Linked DNA regions of Drosophila melanogaster. The gene in region 2 interacts genetically with the main gene of each other region. Each region holds a gene or a part of one and is shown on either strand. Other genes may lie near its edges.

Region 1 (4,007 bases), on a different chromosome or scaffold from region 2:
TAAACAAAAGAAAAACAAAAATAAAACTAAACAGAAAGAAAACCCCCATAGTTGTATTACTTAATTGTAATTTAATTGTCGCGTAATCCGTTCACCTTTAGGCTTGTATTTTATTTATTTAATATACTTAAACGCTAAGGCTAGGCTTTTGTAAATGTCGCATTTAAATGTCCGCGTAAACTATGGCAAATTGTAATCTGAACTTTTGAGAATTTCATGTGATAATGTATACGAGGCGATTACAAAATTGATTTTACTACTTGAACTATGAACTATACTATGTATGTAGGCCTGTAAGCTCTGCTACCCTGTAAATTGCAATTGAATGAAACATATTTATTGAGTGTTTGTACAAAAAAGGAATTAAGGCAACAAATAAGATGATTATGCCCGGAAAATGGCTTAAACTCGGGTTAAATTTATCGGAACTTTACATTTATTTAAAAAAAAAATTGAAACAAGATTGCGTTATCGTGTTAATCAGGTCATCAGAAAACCTTTTGTTCCTGAAAAGAAATAAGAAAAGCATGTTTTCTAAATTTGTTTTTATATATTTTAATGATACCTAAACCTGATTGGCAACTAAGTAAATTTAAATTATTAAACCCTAAAATATTCCGCTGAATTTAACAGGAGTATAAGACAATCGTATGGCTAATTGAACGCTCCGCCGTTACACATTTTAAATTCAACAAATTAAACGATAACAAAATAAACAGAATAAATTCAATCAATCACAGTCGACGCATTTTGGCGGGTGGGCTGGGAACAGATGGCTCTGGAACATTGACCACACCTTCTGCGGTGATAAGAAACTCGGCGAAATCATTGGGAGTCTCTGGTGAGTAAAGTATTTCCAGTTTGCGCACCGTTATCAGTTGATCACCCATGCGATGCTGCTTGGGCACCCGGGAAACACGCAGTCTAGTGCGTCCTAGGTGCGCCCACTGCAATCCCAAGCAGGGAATCTCATCCTGACCGTCCCTGGTGGCCACCTGATTCACACAGACCACGGCACAGTTGTACTTATCCGCGTAGCTGAGCAGAGCGTCTGCCAGTCGACGCATATGTCTCGCTCGTTCCAGATAATCATTATACAGCCGGAATATGGCGGCCACAGAATCAATAATGATCAGGCCAATGCCATGTTGTTGCATCAGTCGCGGAATGCGGTTTATAACGCACGCCAGGAGAGGTTCCTTTGGATTAATATTAAATAAGCATATGGCTACAAATTGGTTTGTCGACTCACTGCCTCAATGTGATTTTCCACAAAGATGTTTCCCAGAAAATTCAGCTCCATTTCGGGATGCCTCTTCTCGCAGGCTTTGCTCATCTGCAGCAATCTTCTCGCCGGAAAGGAACTCTCCGTGCATATGTAGGCCACGCCTTTGCCCAAGCCACCCAACTCACGGGGTAGCTGGACACAAAGGGATAGCTGAAGAAGCAACTGGGTCTTGCCCACGCCGGCTGCTCCACATAGCTCTGTAATTCCACGAGTGACCACTCCCCCGCCCGTGCAGCGATCTAAAGCGGAACATCCAAACGACACCCGCGACCATCTAACATTGACAAGCGGCTTGAAGAGGGAATCCGCTGTAATAAATAGTGGCAAACTAAACACAAGAGGCTACTTATACATTAGTCTGAGAATCACCTGACTGGGGCATCTCTGCCAGCCACTTGGCTGCCGCATCCTTGAGCACCCTAACATCATCCGGAGTGCATTTTCGCACGATTGTGTGCAGCGATTGCTGGCGGGTGTCCAGGAATCGCACCTTGGGAGTTGTCAGCACCTCCTCCGGTGCGAGAACATTAACTGGAGTACAGGAATTTAGTTGGCTCTTGAATAAAGTTGTTGGAACCCCAAAACTCTTACCCTGCTCGGCGATTTCTCTGATATGCTTGGGCAATTGATCCAGAAAGTTTGTCATCGCGATGCGATGGCATGTCCTCGATGGGATTGCGTGATATAATGGCTCCCCGAAACACGAAAGGTGTCTCAACACCTCCGGAATTGGAAGTATTCCGGGGGATTATTGATCAAACAGCCGAGCCATGCGACGACTTGCGAGCGAATTGAAAGTGTAAATAAACGCCGGTTGAAATCAGCTGTTGGCGCCAATATCTTAAGTGGGCCAATCAGCTGGCAACTACAGTGGGCATCCAATAAGGTAAACTATCAGTTGTTGTTTATCAAAAAAGATTTAAAACAAAATTTAGGAAAATTATTGATAATCAATTTGCAAAAATATTTATATGTACTTCCTAGTCAAATTTGGAGCTCAAACCCTCTCAAATTCTCTCAATCCTCTCCTATCCAAACACTATGCTAATATAAATATATTTCCAGTGAACACCACTTAATCACAAACACGAAACACTTGAGAGTATTTACATAATGGTTTTGTTTCAATCATTTAATTTCGAACATTCTGTTTTTTGCACAAGCATCAGAGGAAAACACAAAAACGATAGTCAGTGATCGATAGATGGTGGCTCCACTATCGATGATGCTCCTCCTTTTGGGCGAACTTCGTGTGTAAATGTTGTGGTTTTTCAATGTTTTTAAGCTAAGGGAACTGCGGATGTTGCATCCTGAAGGATCCTAGTGCTTGGGAGTGGGCTTCGAAAGCTCAGCCAAGGCACGGGCCTCAGCCTCTGCGCTGCGCTTCTTCTCCTCGGCGAGCTTGGCATCACGGACGGCCTTCTGCTGTGCCTCGATCTCGCGCAACTTCTCCTCCTTCTTGGACAGGCGGCTCTGGTGGGCGGCGCCGTAGGCAATGCCCACCAGGAGCAGGGACCATCTGCCGAACTTGATCAGCGGGGAAACGCGAACGGGAGCCTGCGACATGGTTTCTTCTTCAAGTTATGTAATTGTCCGACCGTGAACTGCAAGAAAAGGATGTACTTTAGTTATCCGACTTCCTTAATAGCGTTCCCCGTCTCGCTCCACTTTACAGATTCCTGGTTTTCCTAGTTTTATGCAATATTTGATGTTAAATAAGCAAAATTACCAAATTGGTGGAGCGATTGCAACGGCAGCGCAGTATAACCTTAAAACAGCTGTCAAAACTGACAGGCGGCTATCGATAGTTGTATTGGTACGGTGGCGGCGTTGCCAGCAAGCTTAAAAAAGTATGCAGAAATTGTGGAAAATATCATAACAATTTAAAAGAAGCCTTTATGACGACTATTTGTTGTTTAGTGTCCCAACAAAATTTGACGTATTACATACTGCAGCCTAGACTTTCATGTATATTTTACTCTTGTTACTAATAATTTTCAAATACAATTTTAACGGTAAAAGAATTGGAAAGAATAAAAATCTATTATAGAAATATAACTAATATAACTATTCTATCTGAACTATGGATAATGATTTAAATCGAAAATGGGAATTGAAAAAGATAAGATTCAAATTTTGTATGTTATCAATGTTGCGCAACGTTTTTCAGCACTGTCGGTTGGCCAAAAGTTAAACGTTCACACTGTGGGCAGAGGAAAAAGTATTGTTTTCTGGAAAACATGGCTAATTGCAGATAAAACGCGACTTGCAAATTCGGCAAATCTGTTTTTAGAGCCACCAATAAGGCGACAATTAGACATAATACAGAGACACAACAAAATTGACGCGTGTTAAATGCAAACAAGAAAATTCCAACACAGACCTTGAGTGGCTAACACACACACACACACTTGCAGGCCCTCCACACCTGCGTCACACATACACACCACACACACAGTGATAAAGTGGAGCGAGAGAGATAGAAGATCGAACCGTTCCCAGCGTTTTTGTTGTTCTTCTTGAAGCAGGAAGTGAATTTTAGGGGATCCTTTTACTGAATTTTGCAGCTGGCATTATGGTGAATGTACCACCGCTGCTCTGCAGCACCCCCCCGCCCATCGATTTTGGTGAGGAAGACGACGATTCCGGTTTACAATCCACCATCCATTTGGACGAGGGTGACGAATACTCAGATTTTGGCTTAGTCAGCAGCTCGAAA
Region 2 (6,253 bases):
AATCACGCATATTTTTATAAAAATAAGAGTAATAACAATGCATGCAACACATGTATTCACATGAATATATGGGGAGATTGCATAGCATGGGCTTGTACAGTGTACATAAAATAAGCCGTCGCCGATTATATAGGACCCAAGAATATCATATTTTATATAGAAGCAAGCGCAAGCAAATAACCCAGGCAGCATGCCCTCAACTTTCAGTCGTAAACGGAGCGATTGGAAGTCGCTCCTAGTCTGTAAGATCCACGATTAACTAGCCGCTCTCTCCTTCGGTTAACTTCGTTCCGGTGTCACACATCTCTGCAAGGAGGGCATTATTGGTGTAAGGCAAACTTTTGAAGAAGGCAACCTTAATGATAAAATATGTATTTAGATATCCCTAAGGTACCAGCTAATGTCAAGATACTTTAATAAAACCGAATTCAAAATTGCAAGTATTGAAATATCGCCGACTAACTTTTATATGTGTTGGTTTTCTTTGGGTTTATATGTGCTCTACAGTCAAAACTCATTTTCATTTCTGTTTTTTTTTTTTTTAGATTGGTTTATATTCTGGATATTAATACACTTTTAAGACATATAGACTAAATTCTTACTGCTATGTTTACACTGCGTTTGGTGGCTATATATTTATGCTAGGTTTCGAATAAACATTTCAAACACGCACACCAAATTTCCAACTCTTATGAATATTTTGAAATCCATGCGCTGTTACATTTTGATGTGGGTGCGAGTGTATAAATGTTAAAAAATAGTTGCCATAACCGATAGAAATATAAAATGGTAAGGAGATAACACAAAAAAGTAGAAAAAGAATCATGTACAATACAAATTAGGGGCGAGTGCTTATATACAGAGTGTTTGTGTCTAGTTTTTAACTAAAACTAACGTATTTTTCCGTTTGCATTTGCATAGTTTTGAATATGTTACGCTTAGAACTAGATTTAAAGTTGAGGCGCTGCTTCTCTTTGAATACAAAGAAATCCTGCTTTCTAAAGGATTTTCAACTTTCCGCTTATCTCTTTAGTTTGTCTAAAAAGGCCTCAATAACAACTTAATATAATAAAATACTAACATTTACAGCGTTTCGTTTTGAAAAAGAGAGATAATAAATAAACTAAGAGTTTTTCAAAAATATCAAAACGGGATTGGGCATAAGGGGTTGGTGGTAAAGCAACGAGGGTCAGATCTCTAAAGCCTCGAATTGAGTAAACTAGTGGATCCGGTTTCATTTCTTGAAAACTTCGTGATACCGGGAATTGAAGTGTTCTCATATTCTAAATAAATAACAAGTAAACGGTTTACCGTTTCCGATTCCAGTACCTTTCCGGGGAATGAAATTGGTAACATGGCCCTCGGCTACGATTTCGCAGCTTCTCTGTTTACAAGTTGGCTTGAATTGCATTTAAAATAAATACTACACTACTAGCAGGGGCTAAGATTACGTTTACACTGCTGCTAACTGTCCTGGAGGCGGACTCTCCTCAGATCTTTCTATTTGGGTCTGCTGCTTATTTTCCTCACTTGGTCGCCGCTTCTTTAGTGGGGGAATTTCCGTTTCAATAGCGGGCGTTGGCTGCTGTTCTATAATGCAGGCGGTTCTTTTCTGGCCGGGACTGCTGTTGGGCAGCGGTTCGTTGGATCCATTCACTATATCGGTGACTATGTGAGCCTCCAGTGAAGGCGGTAGCAATGGTGACAATGGAACGGCGTTCAGATCACATGCATCCTCATCATCATCCTTATAATTGTGCCCCACATTGCCAAAGAGATCACTGTGTCTATTGTGTGATCTTTCCTCTTCTTCGTCATCATCATCGCTGTAATCGTTGTCCCAGAATACCTGGGCTCCTGGAAACACATACGAATAGTTGTTGGTGTGCGAATAGAATGTTCCAGGCTGCAGACGCTCGGCTGCTGTCTGTCGCTTTCCCCTCTGTTGTGGAATGGGCGTCAGGCTGGGCGCCACTGTCTTGGTCTCCTGAACAAGATTGCTGGGTCGCACGTAGCTAGGCGTGGCTTCGTTGTCGCACTGCTCGATGCCGCTATCCTTGGAGGAATCAATGGAAAGATGGCGATAGCTCTCCACCGTTGTCTGAGGGCCTTCCAGGCCCAGACGATCGCAACTTAGGGCTGTGGTCTCGTTCAGCTCAACCAGTATGTCTGTTTTAATACGTTCGATGGCTGCCGCTTCGGCGGCAGTGGAACGCTTTCCACAGCTAAAAGTAGATGACTCAAATCCACTATCCGAGCAGGTGCCAGCTGATCCTAGTATGTAGTCCGCCGAACTATTTGATTTAATAGACTGCGTATCCGTGTCCAGTTGCGACTGTCGCTCGCTCTCTGAACTGCAGTGGCGGTGGTGAAGTAGATGATGATGGAGGTGGTGATTAGAGTGCTCCGGAGGCATTAGCTCCTTGCTTTCGGTAAGCACTGACTCATCGCAGCACAGCTGCCGCCAGCAATCATCGTTGTCCGACAACCGGTGGCAAATCTGGTTGATGATCACATCGGAGTCGCCCAGCAGCTCCACATCGAACTTAAGGTGATGCAGCTGCTCGCGATTGATAAGAATCTGCGGCACCGTGGCCGGTATGCTGCTGGGAATGTGGGCCACAGGTCGGACCTTCAGCGAGGAGCCGATCACGATCAGTAGATCGCACACGTCCTTGTCGGTGGCCATGACCGTGTGGTACTCATCCGGCAGTCCTGTTGGCAATATGAAAAGCAAACACAATATGATATATGGTAAATAGCGTTACTTTGTATTTTCAATAGTTTATCTCTTAAATAAACACTTCTTTTGATCGTCGAATTTGAAATTCTTGCATTTATTTTACCAAGGCTATTGATAATATATAATAAATCTGTATAAAAATGGCACCTACCCTCGCCGAAAAAGACGATATCCGGCTTCATGATGCCGTTCTCGACCAGTTGGCGCAGCTCCTCCTCAGTAACGGCCACCGAGGCATCCACGCTCTGCTCCTTATTGGGCTGGCACTGCGGGCACACCGGAATTCGCTGGGCAAATATGTCCGCCCGCAGGGCGTCAGCGTTGCACTTGAAACGACACTTGGTGCACGAGGCCGTTGAAAAGGAGCCGTGACACTCGATTACTCGCTGAATGCCTGCCACCCGCTCGAGGGTGTCGATGTTCTGTGTGTAGTTGCGCAACAGTTTGCCCTTGGTCTCCAGCATTTTGATGAAACGATGGCAGGGTGAGGGCTGAAACTCGCCGGGATATATCTCGCGGGCAAACTTGTAGAACGGTCGTGGATCCCTCTTGAAGTAGTTGATATCAAACATGGCCTGCGGATCGGGCAGATCGGGAAAATCATGGGCCAATCGCGCATATATGCCATTGGTGGACCGGAAGTCCGGAATGCCGCAGGAGACGGATACTCCGGCTCCCGTTAGCACAATGATCTTCTGTGATTTCTTGACCAAACTGATGACATCGTCGAAGGTGTTCACTGAGGCCAGCTTGTTGCGCCGCTTCGGCTCGTTCAACAGGTGGGCCAAATAGTCCCACAGCACGGAGTCGTCGGTGTCGCCCGCCAGGCCGGTGGCGAAATGCGGCATAATGCTGGCAATAACCTGGCGCGGCACACGACCTGTGTAAAATTCTCGTTGCAACCAGCGCAGCTTCCAGTCGGGTTCCACGGATGAGGAGCAATTTGAGCTGGAGTCCTCATCCTCGTTGCTCGTTCCGGTGATTCCCTCCTCGTCGTCCTCCTCCTCCTCCTCATCGTCCTCTTCCTCCTCCTCCTCGTCATCTTCATCCTCGCCCATTGACTTTGTGGGATTTTTGGTTTTATGCTCCAAATTGGCGCCAATCTCTTGTTCTTCCCTGGCAGCCAATGTTTTTGTTTTGATTTCACCATTTGCTTTGCCAGCAAGTTCGCTTGTTGCTGGTTCTGTGGTTGTTGCTGTTGCTTCTGCCTCTGCCTCTGCCTCTGTTGACGTTGAGGCCAGAATTTCCGCGCCAAAATCAAACTTAGTTGGCGGATAGAATTGCGTAGTGTCTGGCACCTGGTTGCCCAGATCTTTAGACCTAATGTGGCCCAGGCGAATTTCCTCGTAATTTTCCATCATTTTTTCCGAACCCAAGCGCGCGCACACGCGCACACACACAGACTCACGGAGAGAAAACTCTCGTAGTTGGTGCTGTTGCTGGCTCTTCTTCTTCTTGCGCGAGTGTTTCCTCGGTCTCTCCGCTTTGCGCTCTCGCCTCGTCCGTTTTCTCCGCTCTTTCGTTGGTACACACAAAAATTTTTACGTCGTCAGCTTCGCACCCATTTGGCTTGATTGAAAAAATTCTCCAGCGATCGTTTGGCCGCGATTTTTTCAACCAACCCGACTTTATTTCACGTATATGCACGAAACTTAAATTTTAAAAAAATTTCGACACCATTTGGTTGCGATTTTTTCGTAATTTTCGAGCGTAGTTTCTGGAAAATTTTCCGATGAAAAAAGCAAGATGGCACACGTAGCTGCGCCTGTGTGTGTATGTGGGCTGGCAGACGTGATTCGGGTGGGACCCTGACACGTCGTGTGGAAAGTGCTAACGCGTTTCTGCATGGAAAGTGCCGCCAGCATGACTCATCACGGTATGTTTTTAGTATTTTTTGGGATTTTTGAGGGTGATTACGTGTTGCTACAGTGGCCACTGCCTTATGTCATATCTAATTTAATCCATTTCTTTAAAAACTGTTTAAAATATATCAATAATTTGTCAAAAAGTTAGTAAAATTAATTTTAAATTATGCTTCGAACTTTAATTTTAGCACTCTTTTACTTATCAAATTTACTCGATATTTAAACAATTAAGTAAAAATAATTTTTTTGTCCAATATTTACACATTTCATAGTAGTATTATAAATTGATGTATTGATAATATGCAGTTCATATGTCCAAAAACTTCCATCAAGCTGTTAAATACAAAAATGTGTAAACAGATTTCCAGAACGTTCCAGCAAGTGTCTACTGTTCCCCAAAAAAGCTGCGATTTTAAGTATTTATTTGGTACTTTCCCCAAAATTATAGGTTTTTGGTAGAACTTGGGCATACTTGTTAGCCAATATGACTTGAAAATATTGTCATAAATACATTGTTAAATAATTTAATAAGTCGTACACTTACAATGTACAAAATATTTTAGTTTGTAGGGGGACTGGGGATGCAATAGGAAATGGACAACCTAAATTTATACGACGTTCTTAAAGTGGCTCCGGATGCAACTGATGAGGAAATAAAAAAGGTATGTAACAGTTCCAATTCGATATGTTGGTAAATAGTTTGTATTCACCTTTTCACCAATAGAACTACCGAAAATTGGCAAAAGAGTTCCATCCAGACAAGAATCCCGATGCGGGCGACAAGTTTAAAGAAATATCCTTCGCCTACGAAGTGCTGTCCGATCCCGAGAAGCGGCGCATCTACGACCGATATGGATTGAAGGGCCTGCAAGAGGGCGCCGAGGGATTCTCTGATGCCTCCGAATTCTTCGCCCAGTGGTTCCCCTTCGATCGAGTCTCGTCCGAAGGTCGGGGCAGGCGCAATGGCAAAGTCGTGGTAAAAGTGGAGCTGACCCTGGAGGAGATCTACGTCGGCGGCATGAAGAAGAAGGTGGAGTACAATCGCCAGAAGCTGTGCTCCAAGTGTAACGGCGATGGCGGTCCCAAGGAAGCGCACGAGAGCTGCGAGACCTGCGGCGGAGCTGGACGAGCGGCCGCATTTACCTTCATGGGTCTCAGCCCCTTCGATACGGTATGTAAGAATTGATTGTAGTTGTAGTGAATGCACACCGCGGACCACACATCCGTGGAGATCCCATATACCACACTTCGGAGCAGATTATTTAAATTATTTTTTTTTGCAGACCTGTCCGACTTGCGATGGCAGGGGCTTCACCATAAGGGACGACAAGAAGTGCAGTCCCTGCCAGGGCAGTGGTTTCGTAGAGCAGAAGATGAAGCGGGACCTGGTTGTGGAGCGAGGAGCACCGCACATGCTAAAAGTTCCCTTCGCAAATGAGGGCCACCAAATGCGAGGCGGCGAATTTGGGGATCTGATTGTAGTCATCTCCCAGATGGAACATCCAATCTTTCAGCGCCGCCATGCCAATCTGTACATGCGAGACCTGGAGATCAACATCACGGAGGCCTTGTGCGGCTACTCGCATTGTTTCAAGCACTTGGATGGACGAAACGTCTGTCTGCGCACGTACCCTGGTGAAGTGTT
Region 3 (6,034 bases), on a different chromosome or scaffold from region 2:
TCAGTACCTTGTGGGGTTGTGGAGATGCTAGGCTAGACCAGACACAGCTCCATTTCCCCACTCCCACAGAAATTGCGAAACTTCTTTGATTTGATACGCACCCGAACAGCGATCCCAGAAAGCCCTTCTGCTGGGTCAACTTCTTCTCCGCCTCGGCCATCAGCTGGAGCGCCTTCTGTTCGTTGTCACCCATGTCGAGGATTTATGTCCGCCTCGGCACTAATTGCATCTAAGTTTAAGACTTGTTCGGCTTTTCAGCGAGTGTGTGTACGTATTGGGATCTTTTTTCGAGAAAATAAAATCAATATGCTGACTTGGTGTGACCGCAGAAGTGGTGCCAGTGTTACCATCTCACAGCATTCTCAAATAACTCATGCCAGTGTTGTGAAATGCAAGGGCTGTAACGTTTGTTCGTTCAAAATAATTCTCAGCCGCCTGAATGCGTCACCTACAGTCTGGCAGGTGCATTTTAAGAACAGCTGCCCTAAACGTTGCAAACAATCTTTTTTCAGATATTTTATTAAATTTTATATATATTCGCTTTTAGTTCAAAAGCATTTACATATTGTATCCTATAGCTACAGATATTTCTGGCCAAAGTTGAATATACTTGTACACTTAAACACTTTGCAGCAGTATTGTAACTTATGTATTATTTTAAATGGCGCTATAGCGCACTACGAACGCACAATATTACACTATTACTTTTATAATGTATCCAGCATTAAAATTTTGTTATCAGTCACCTCGGTGAATATAGGCATTTCGAAACACGTTTGCTTAGTTTAAACATTTAATTTGATCTCTTTAAAATGCATTAAGTGATCGGATCGTGTACGAAAACCATTAAACAGATATATTAAATTACTTTTGAGGGAGGCCCAACACTGACGATGAATATAACTTAAGCAGTATTTTCGATATGAAGGGGAAGGGGCAAAAACAAATAAATTCTATAAACATCGAACAAATCAATTTGAACGGGAACTACAATTTTAAAAGATGATGGGAGAGGAGGATACTTTCTGGGCTATAAATGAAGTTGGCCAGGGCATTCGTGAATTACGTTAAACTAACATTCGGCCTTATAATGATAGTTGGGCTGGCTACGCTTATGTGAACATCTTCTCCAGCATTTTCCTAAGTTTCTCCTGGGCATATCGGATCTTCTGGTACAAGTCTTTAGACACGCCGTTCTCCACAATGGTCGAAAATCGGTAGGTGCGGAAGTTCTTCTCCTGGTCCATATAGGTTATAGCACTCATGCGCGGGCAGAGGATGAGCTTCATGTGATCTGAGAAGTTTAGCTAAGAAGGATAGATAGTTCATTAGGACCAGATGTACATGATGCCGATGCTGTACAATTATACAAACCTGCACAGAACCGTTGGTCAAATGCATAACTACGGCACATGTTGTACGGAACCAGGAGTGTAAATGGGGCATACGCGAGATTTGATCGCTCTCAATGTTCACATTGTTGGCACCTGCCTTCACCAGGTGCTCGATCATGTAGCGCTTAAAGTACGACAGCAGCTTCATCTTCTTGTCAAGCGACTTGCAGTAATCCGTGGTGGTCATGTACGTCTCCTTGCCATCCTTGTCGATGAAGTGTACGTTGATCTGATTCGGCAGCAGGATCAGCTTTGTGGTGTCGTTGAACATCACGCCGATGCCCTCATCGCACAGCTGGTAACCAAATCCGTACTTGTCGCTGTAGTCAACCCACTTGGATATCCAGAAGAGCGGCTGCGCTGCAGGATCTGTGTTCTCGTCGCCCAGATTGCCTTGCAGAATTCGCGGCTAAAGAAGTGAAGAGGTATAAGAGTCTTAAATTATTTAACTAATATAGAGCAAAAGGTACTTACCTTTCCGTTGATAAGATTAGTGAGCTGCTGGTACAGGCTCTCGATATCGCTGCGATAGTCCTCGCTGTGGCGGCACACCTGCGCTGACGCGGTAATGGCGTCGTGCAGATTGGCCTTGAGGAAGGTCGACTCCAGACGAGTGTCGTCGGGCCTGATGCCGTTCATCTCCATCAGTGGCTTGCGGTGCATCGAATCCTCGATGGTGTCGTTGCTGCCGATACGCGGCGCCATTGTCAGACAAGAGCTGGGCAAGAACATGGGCACCTTTGAGCCCTTGAGGAACTCAAAGTTCAGCAGCTGACCAATTGCCGGGCGGCTCTCCGGATTTGGCTGCAGCATGGCGATGACCATATCCGCCGCCGGTTTCCTTAAGTAGCTGGGCACGCGGTACTCGCACTTCTTGATTTTCGAGTACGTATCCTTCAGAGTCTTGGTTTCGAACGGCGGCTGGCCCACAAGCAGTGTGTACATGACGCAGCCAATCGACCAGATGTCCACCTCGAAGGAGTGGCCCTTCTTGGTGAGGATCTCCGGGGCTATATAGTTGGGCGTTCCGCATAAGGTCTTTTTTCGCTCGCCCTCATACTCAATGCGCGTGGCCAACCCGAAATCCCCGATCTTCACGTGCAACAAATCGTTGAGGAAGAGATTGCCCAGCTTCAGATCTCGATGGATAATGCGGTTATCGTGCAAGTACTTAACGCCCTGGATTATCTGGTAAATGTAGTAGCGGCATTCGAACTCCGTAATGCTTTTCCTACGTTTGTGCAGCTCCATCATGGACTGTAAGTCGGAGAGGTAAGTGTCATGGTGGCATATTGCAGAGATGTTCTATTAAACTCACTCTTTTCTTGCACAGCTCCAGCACAATGTAGATATTCTGCGAATCTTCAAAGTAGTTGTGAAACTTGACAATGTTCGGATGGTTAAGGCTGCGGTGAATAGTTATCTCCTGGGCGGTCTTCTCCTTCTGATTGTGTTTGATCATCAGCTTCTTGGATACGATCTTGCCGGCGAAGACGTCGTCGGTTTCCACATCGATGATCTCGTAACATTTTGCAAACCCGCCCTGCATAAAGCATATTAATTTTGTATTTAAAAACATTATACAAAAACATAACCTTATACTGTATTAAAAACAGATCTATGATAAAACTTTGCATATAGGTATTTTCAAGTAAATGGCGTTTAATAAACGTATTGATGTCTATTTTACAAACATATTCTGTATAAACTTTTTATCCATATTGGTTGGCAACATAAAATTAGTAATTTATATTTAACAATCACATGTTTAGTACCTTTGCTCCAATCTGCGGAGCCCCTTCCAAGAAAATATTTATATGCCAATAGCACAACGAGGAAATTGTTGGTTCAACTAAGTTGCAACAGTTCCTTTTCTTGTCTATGTAAATTCGAAGAAGCCGCGCCAAAAAAAAAAACTGAACAAGCAGCCAACTGCATGAACACACACACACAGGCTCGTACAAGATTCCCACACACAGGCTCTCTTTTTCTCTCCTGCTCTTAAAGGAGAGAGCTACAAAAACAACAAGGGAATGCTCATCAGCAAGGAAAACGGAACGAAAACCGGGATGTGGAAATGGATATGTGTGTATGCGGGTGCGTGCATGTGTGCGTGTAGGTAAATGTGTGATCCCTTCGACTGATCTGATCCCGGGCATCTGCAAATCCGCATCCGGACTCACCTTGCCGAAGAACCGCATGCGCTTGTAGGTTTTCCGCTGGTTGATGTCGACGAGGCGATCCGGAATATCCGTGCTCTTATCCTCGGGCTTCGCGGCCATCTTGCTCTCCTTTCTTCTTTACTACGGACTGCCCCTTTTGCGTTTGCGTTCGCCTGGAGTTTTGCGGCGATACTCCTCGTTCTGAGCCTATAATTCCACCGGCGATCGGCTGAAAGTGCCTCGGAAACGGAGATCAGATCCACACGGTTGACAAGAGAAGCGGCGATCAAATCTCGGTTTTGCCCATCGAATGCACGAAAACCAAGCACAAAGCGGAGAACGCGCCGAAACCGTTCGATTTTTTAAATGCCAAAATGAATTGGACGTGAAGCGTCAGCTGAATTGGTGTGCCCGTTTCGCTGGCTATCGCACACTTTCTGGTATGTATCGCGGTATTTTGTTGAGTGTTGAACAACAAATTCTATGGCCGTTACCCTTTTGAATTTACCTACTGGCGTTTACTCTGTTCGAATTGAGCGCAATATTTTTTCCTATTGCTCTGCGCAACACTGTGTTTAACCGCTATTTATTTGAAAATCTACAAAAACTAACGTTACATTTTTGAAATTTCAAAAGGGTTTCATAAATTGAGTTTACTAAACAGTCAACGGTCAACTTTATATTGTAGAGCCCCTTTTCTAATTTGAATTGCTGCAAACGTTTTCTGAGTAAAAATACTGCCACCTTGTAATTGCAGGTTTCGATCCTGATTTGTGTTAAAAAGAAATTATTAGAAACAGCTATCTCAAAGCCTTCTATGTTTTTCAGTTAAACTTTCAAATAACGGTTAAAAATAATTTTGATAAAAAAAAAACAACACTAAAACACACACAAGTAAATAGAAAAAATAATGTGTTTACTTAATAACTTTATTAAATAATCCCCAGATTTTGTTTTTCTACATTGATTTAATAACGACTACGAATACCCCACTATTGGTGTAGATTTCCGTTTAGATTTTGACTATGCCTGCTGATATCTCGAAGGGGTCGCTTGGGTTGGAGGATTGTATGTTCTAGAATAGGTCTATTTGGGGTCTCTTGGTTATTGCCATCGTTTCGTTCTCTGGGATTACTCCTTACAAGCTGCCCCGTTTTGGCTCTTGTTGCTGTTCTGATTTTAATGTTTTGTTTTTGTTTGCGAAAGAGGCCTTATAAGTAGAAAAATGTGGTTTTAGTTCTTAGTTGTCGTCGTTAATACATAAATTATTACATTAAATATATTATCAATAGTTTAGTTTCATAGTTGGTTGCTTTGCCAGTGTACGCAGTCTCTCCAAAATGCCTTGTGTTTCCGTGTGGGTGAGTGTGTGCTTGTGTGTTTTAGGCCGAAGAAGTGGCTGGTGGATCTGATCGTGGATCTGAGTGTGGGTGTGGGTGTCAGTGAGTGTCCTGCGGTTATGTCTTAAATTTTCGCCGATCTATCTTATCAGCATTCCCATCCCATCGCATCGCATCCCATCTCCGACTCAGTCTCCGCGAACTCCTCTCCGCACTGAGCTCCCAAAGTTGAACTAGAAATAGGCGACTCGATACAGCTTTTCTCAGCTAGATCCGGTTGTGGAGGTGACCTGACTCCGCTGCAGGCGCAGCCATTCAACAAACTCATCCAGCATGACGGGCCCTGCAAAAAGATGGGGGTAACTAAATGCTCCGTTTCAAGTTCTTATTTTAACTTATTTATCAGCTTCTTTTAATACGGTTGCGAAATACATAGTTCAGTTTAGTTTAGTTAGCTCCTTTGTGTTACTTACAAGCTCCGTCGATATCGTAGTTTGATAGATCAATGCTAATGGTGCGCGAGAACTCGAGAATATTACACCACTGATCTTTGTTGATCGCCTTGTACTTTGATTGCTCTAGAAACTGTGCGAACTGTGGATACAGAGGCCAATGTTTGCCCAAAAGTAGTTGAAGCATGGCTTTGGCAGTGAGTATATCCATACACCGTTGGTCCGAGTCCTGCGGAATATGCAGAGCCTTATTAAACGCAGCTCATTGTTTATTCAAATGGATTACTGACCTTGGCAAAGTCGTAGGCGTATCTGTAGATGCTTTTAAAGGAGTTGGGATCGTTGAGTATGCTGCGCAGATAGTCCAATTTCACAACCATTTTCGCTGCCGAATCGCAGTCGAGTTCTGTGAGGCCCTTTAGCCACTCCTGCTGGCTGAAGAAGCCCATCTGGGTGGCGCCCATTTTGTAGGCCAGCACCAGCATCACAATATTCTCGGGCTCCACGCCGATATCCTCGCAGAATTTTTCCATGCCATCGGGACCTGAAGAATCAGTTTGTTACATAAGTATTTCGAAGGGCCAATAAGAAATAAATAAGCAATTTCTTTATATACCCAGAATTTGGTATGCCTGAGCGATTTAAGAAGATTGCCGATATCTTTATATTGCACATATTCAAATAAC
Region 4 (4,643 bases), on a different chromosome or scaffold from region 2:
TAGAGAAGGAGAGGCCCGACCAGGCAATGTGCAATAGTTCAGAATGCAGCGAGTGCGAACGCAAATGCAAATGAACGGCAGAGGCCCTGCAATGTTTATTGAATTCATTACAATAATTAAAGAGCAAACGAACGATTCGATTCCACTCGACCGATGGCGAAGTCAACCAGGAACGTAGAGCCCCCAAACGGCGATCTTCGATTGACAGCTGGGACAACTGACGCATGGAAATCATGGATGGGATCATCTGACTTCGCAAACGCAATCGATTTGCATTACTAACGTTTTTGGGGTCGGCGCGAAAAACGAAATAAATTAAGCAAAAAGAAGCGTTCGAAAAAAAGTTCTACACATCTGAGTAGAATATTTAAAAATCACAAAATAATACTAAGAAATAACTACTGGTATTCCGACTATATCTTTCTAAACAAAACAATATGTAGTGGCTCTCATTTAATGATCATTAAATTTCCATTACTAACGTTTTTCGGTTATCGGTAAAATCGACATTATCGATATAACTTATCGTCATTCTCAAACGAGCTTATTAGTAAGAGCTTTACTAATTCTTGAAGAATACTAGAATACGAAGAATACGTTTAATGTTGTCTCTCAAAATTAATTGACTTCCCGGTTTCCCTGCTTCAATTACAGCTTTTTAGACAAACTTTCGCACACTTTCTTGTTATCAACTGGCACGTTCCACCAATGTGGCTAGCAAACACTCAAGATATGATAAAAGTCACAATCGCAAGCACATAGGACGACTATACAGATGTGTGTATAGGCTTATATGTACACTTTTTTTGGGCCATCAGCTGCTGTTGTACCTTGGCACATTGCGAATAGATAAAAGCCTTATCTGTAAATGGGGAATAAAAAAGCCTCTTTCGACAGCTAACCGAGTGGCGAATCAACCCATTTATGAAAATTAAACCTAATCACATTTCAATGTCAATACTGATGTCAAGAGAATATTCAAAAGCATCTGAAAACGGTGCGTATACGAGATCGCTGGCAAAATATGGCAACAAAATCGACCTTAGTGGATCGCATACGAAAATCGGGGGAGCAAACAAACACAGAACGAAAGAAATGAGCTCCACGCAAACGACACACGCTTCAAGCTCTGCTATCAGTGTGGCGCTGGGGCTCTATTTTTAGAGCCATTATCAGCGCTGCTCTAATTAAGATCTCCCCTGCCCACTCCCATGACAAGTAACACACCAAAACGGACTAATCAAAACCCACACGAACTGAAAGATCATCTATTGGAGCGACACTGCAGCGCCGAACGTGACCGACTTTATGATTCTAGTCGTTTTGATCTTGAAAGTGAAACTAGGAATTACTCGAATAAGGTTATAAATCACATTCCCTATCGGTTGTATTAAAATTTGGGTCGTAAATTCAATAGATGTGACTACTTTAACACAACAAAAAGTCCAGCTTTCCTATCTAAAATTCTAAACACCAATATAAATAAAAGAACCTAACTCTAGTTTCTATTAAACCTCTTAACTTTTATCAAAGCTTATTTTTATAAATATAGCAATAGCAATTTATATTGGAAATATTTCACGGAAGAATGAATATTTTATTGTGGCGACTAAAAAAAATGTTGTTGTAATCAACATAAAATACCATTTAATTTAAATTTTAATTGATGTGTAGGAAAGCACTGCTTCAATTACTTTTTTAATCGCGTGACGAAACAAAATTTGACTTTTAGAATATTTCAATCAATTGCCGATTAGATTCGAATCGAATTTAGGAACTTAAAAAACATGACATTTTTCATTCAATCAAGTACACCTACTCGTAATTGTTAATAATATTTACCCGCCAAATGTTTGCAATGGGAAATAGCTGGCTAATTTGTTGCTCCTTGTTGATTGCGATTTAAAAAATTGTTGATTTTGCCGGTGGGATTTGTTGATCGCCGTTTGCTGTTGTTAACTGGCACTGTTTTACTTTATTTTCCTGGTTGCTTTGCACTTTTTTATGGGTTTGTTTTTTTTTTATGGGTAGTATATATGATTGTGTTGTTGTTTTGAGCGAAACTTGTGCGGATTTCTTGATTTTTAGTGGTTATTTAAATATATACATATATATTTTTTAGAATTCTGTTGGCATAATTTTCTGCTCACACACACACACACTCATTAAATGGGTTTCTTGTTGTTGCTGGGCGGCGGTTTTGCTTAAGCTAAAGACGATTGTAAAAACGGTAAATTAGAATATATATATAACAACAATCAAAATAAACAAATAAAAAGAGCGCGAAGAGAGCGGCGCGATTAAAGAGCGTAGTGTGTGTATGTGTGTGTGCCGAAGAAAGAGAGGGAGAGAGCGAAGAGAGCGATCACGTCACGTCATCAATTCATGCCAATTGGACGCACACACAACACTTAATTGGAATTCGTATGAGAATTCAATGAAAACCGTGCGGCGCAGTCGAAAAGTTGTTTAAAGTTCAAATGGGTAAAAAATTTTAATATAAACACGTTTCGGAGCTTACTCCAATTCGCTTTTTATTCGCCACTAGTGTGCGTAACGTATTTTATGTGCCATATAGTAGGTACATATGTATGTATTTGTATGTACAACGTGACTGCTACGAAGATCATCCAAGCATCGCTATTTAATACGTTTTGGAGCTTTTCTCTTATTTTATACGATTGTCGTATGTAAAAAACGAACGCGTTCCTTCTACGTTTCAGTTTTGAGTTCGGCACATTCACATGTTTTGAAAGCGAAACATATTTATTTTCCACTTTCTTGATTTGTTTCTACATTTGCGTTTTAGAATCAACGGTGTTCGGCCCCAAACGATTTGGGCCTCAAAAGATCACTGCGTTTTTTGCATTGGTTTATATTTGCTTTGCTTGAAGTTGAAAAGGAAAACGATGAACGATGAACGACCTCGTGGCTTTTAACCGCAAGCGAAAAAACACAGACTACTCGTTAACTGCTTTCTAGTTGGATGCGAACTGACAACTGAAACTGATTCGCCGTCGCCTTCGTAAAAGTGTTCGTTTCGGCGGCGCAAAAAGGCGGTCTGTGCGTGTGTGTGTGCGACCTATGTCCGCGTATGTGAGAGCTTGCTCTTAGCATCCACTCACGTTCCACAACCGCTCACTTCACCGCTTTTTTATGTTTGTGGCGCGCTTCGTCTCACACACTCTCACACACTTGGGGCCAAAAAATTAGTGGGGTATGCCAAATCGATATGTTTTATTTGAGTATTTTCTGCGTGAAATAAGAGAAGTTATAGCTATAGCTATAAATGCAATAGATATTTTAAATCTTAAAGCATACAAATTTCTCTCTTTAAGGGATATTAACCCCAACTAAATGATAATTCGTATAAAATAAAAAAGGAATTGTTTCAATACTTACAAATTTAATAATATAAAACTTAATCTATTTATTTTTAATAACGGGTGACTGTTTTAATGAAAAGAATAAAGTTCAGCTGCAGTGAAACATTTAAGACGTCATTGCATATTAATAACAATTTGAAAAGTATTCATTATAAAAAACATGTTATTCACTATTGAGGTGACCGCCTTTGTGCCCCCGTCAATATTAATAAATAAAAGCCATAGTTTACCTATTTTATACATTTGGAATTTAAATTGTTTCTTTTCATTTCGGTCGCGCTGCTCTGAACTCGAAATTCTCGACGATGGAGGAAAGGGAACGGCGGCGGTGGGTGGTGGTTGGGCGTTTTGGGTGGGGTGATGGGGCGGTCGGCATTGCTGATAAGGCAGCCGTTATCTCGCGATTGTCGCTCGCTCGTTCACTCAAGCTCTCTCTCTCCCTCCCTCTTTGAGGCTCCATTTCTCTCTTACGTTCATTGTCTCGTGATGCGATGGAAAATTTCCCGAAATTGCATTCTACTGATAATGCCAGCAATGCACATTTGTGCATATGAATATGGGACTCAGAAGTGCCCCGCATCTCTTGCAGTGTGCGAGCTTTTTGGGAGCATGTATTTTATGGTCAAAGTCCCCCGCATCCCCGACCACCGAAAAATAAGCCCCTCCCGGTGCCAGTTTTTTTTTTTTTTTTAATTTCATTTTTCGCCTAGGCCCGATATCTCTATACTTGTACACACGTTCGCGTCCATGAGAGTGTGTATCGGTGTTATTTTAATGTGCCTGCCACATAAATTCCGCAACATTACACGGCTAATGAAGTCTAGACGCTGAGGACGGAGAAACCAACAGTTTATGGATCATCCAAACTTAAAGACCGACCCGATGCGATCGTCTCGATCCCTCGAGAGGGGGGATTAGAAACGAGCCAAGGAGATGAGTTAAGGACTTTAGGGTGCATCTTGGCATATCTAGGATCTTAAAGATTTCAAATTTGCAGGCTTCATTGGGTAATTTTTTGTTAATTTGTAATTTTTCAGAATATTTTTATTGCTTAAAAAGCTCTTTTAGTTTTTTTTTGTTGTAAGATTATAGCTCTATTAAATAGGCCTCAAAGTCTGCAAAGTCCCGAGTTATGACAATAAAAGTTTGCATGTACATAGAGATTTTGGAATGCGAGAACAACAAGAAGATAAGTCCGCCAAAAGATACATATATATTTTAGAATGCTATTAAGTTGGCTTAAGAACGATAAGTAAC

Evidence for each region.
Region 1: of Sirt1 (region 2) and spn-B, changing one suppresses a phenotype caused by changing the other (phenotypic suppression), as found in Drosophila melanogaster (one study listed by BioGRID).
Region 3: of Sirt1 (region 2) and polo, changing one suppresses a phenotype caused by changing the other (phenotypic suppression), as found in Drosophila melanogaster (one study listed by BioGRID).
Region 4: of Sirt1 (region 2) and foxo, changing one suppresses a phenotype caused by changing the other (phenotypic suppression), as found in Drosophila melanogaster (one study listed by BioGRID).

Annotation. Positions count from the first base shown.
Region 1 is NT_033777.3:14,326,138-14,330,144, reverse strand, and holds spn-B (spindle B), read right to left. Parts: upstream 2,095-4,007; 5' UTR 1,935-2,094; coding exon 1,880-1,934; intron 1,820-1,879; coding exon 1,658-1,819; intron 1,597-1,657; coding exon 1,253-1,596; intron 1,200-1,252; coding exon 735-1,199; 3' UTR 537-734; downstream 1-536. Other genes in the region: ATPsynE (ATP synthase, subunit E), read right to left, coding at 2,609-2,854; Afti (aftiphilin), read left to right, coding at 3,864-4,007.
Region 2 is NT_033779.5:13,163,842-13,170,094, reverse strand, and holds Sirt1 (sirtuin 1), read right to left. Parts: upstream 4,532-6,253; 5' UTR 4,105-4,531; coding exon 2,895-4,104; intron 2,716-2,894; coding exon 1,454-2,715; 3' UTR 544-1,453; downstream 1-543. Other genes in the region: DnaJ-H (DnaJ homolog), read left to right, coding at 5,202-5,270, 5,333-5,779, 5,892-6,253. UniProt on the Drosophila melanogaster protein: NAD-dependent histone deacetylase involved in heterochromatic silencing. Mildly suppresses the heterochromatin-mediated silencing phenomenon known as position-effect variegation (PEV). Required for epigenetic silencing of the polycomb group proteins.
Region 3 is NT_037436.4:20,307,952-20,313,985, reverse strand, and holds polo (polo), read right to left. Parts: upstream 4,333-6,034; 5' UTR 3,677-4,332; coding exon 3,578-3,676; intron 2,938-3,577; coding exon 2,713-2,937; intron 2,652-2,712; coding exon 1,869-2,651; intron 1,804-1,868; coding exon 1,375-1,803; intron 1,308-1,374; coding exon 1,113-1,307; 3' UTR 520-1,112; downstream 1-519. Other genes in the region: alphaSnap (alpha soluble NSF attachment protein), read right to left, coding at 102-193; SCCRO4 (squamous cell carcinoma-related oncogene 4), read right to left, coding at 5,160-5,239, 5,370-5,577, 5,639-5,892. UniProt on the Drosophila melanogaster protein: May play a role in regulating both nuclear and cytoplasmic aspects of the mitotic cycle. Regulates localization of the augmin complex during mitosis by ensuring its location on mitotic spindles.
Region 4 is NT_033777.3:14,055,307-14,059,949, reverse strand, and holds the start of foxo (forkhead box, sub-group O), read right to left. Parts: upstream 3,006-4,643; 5' UTR 2,926-3,005; exon of another isoform or gene 2,522-2,925; intron 2,210-2,521; 5' UTR 1,843-2,209; intron 1-1,842. UniProt on the Drosophila melanogaster protein: Transcription factor involved in the regulation of the insulin signaling pathway. Consistently activates both the downstream target Thor\d4EBP and the feedback control target InR.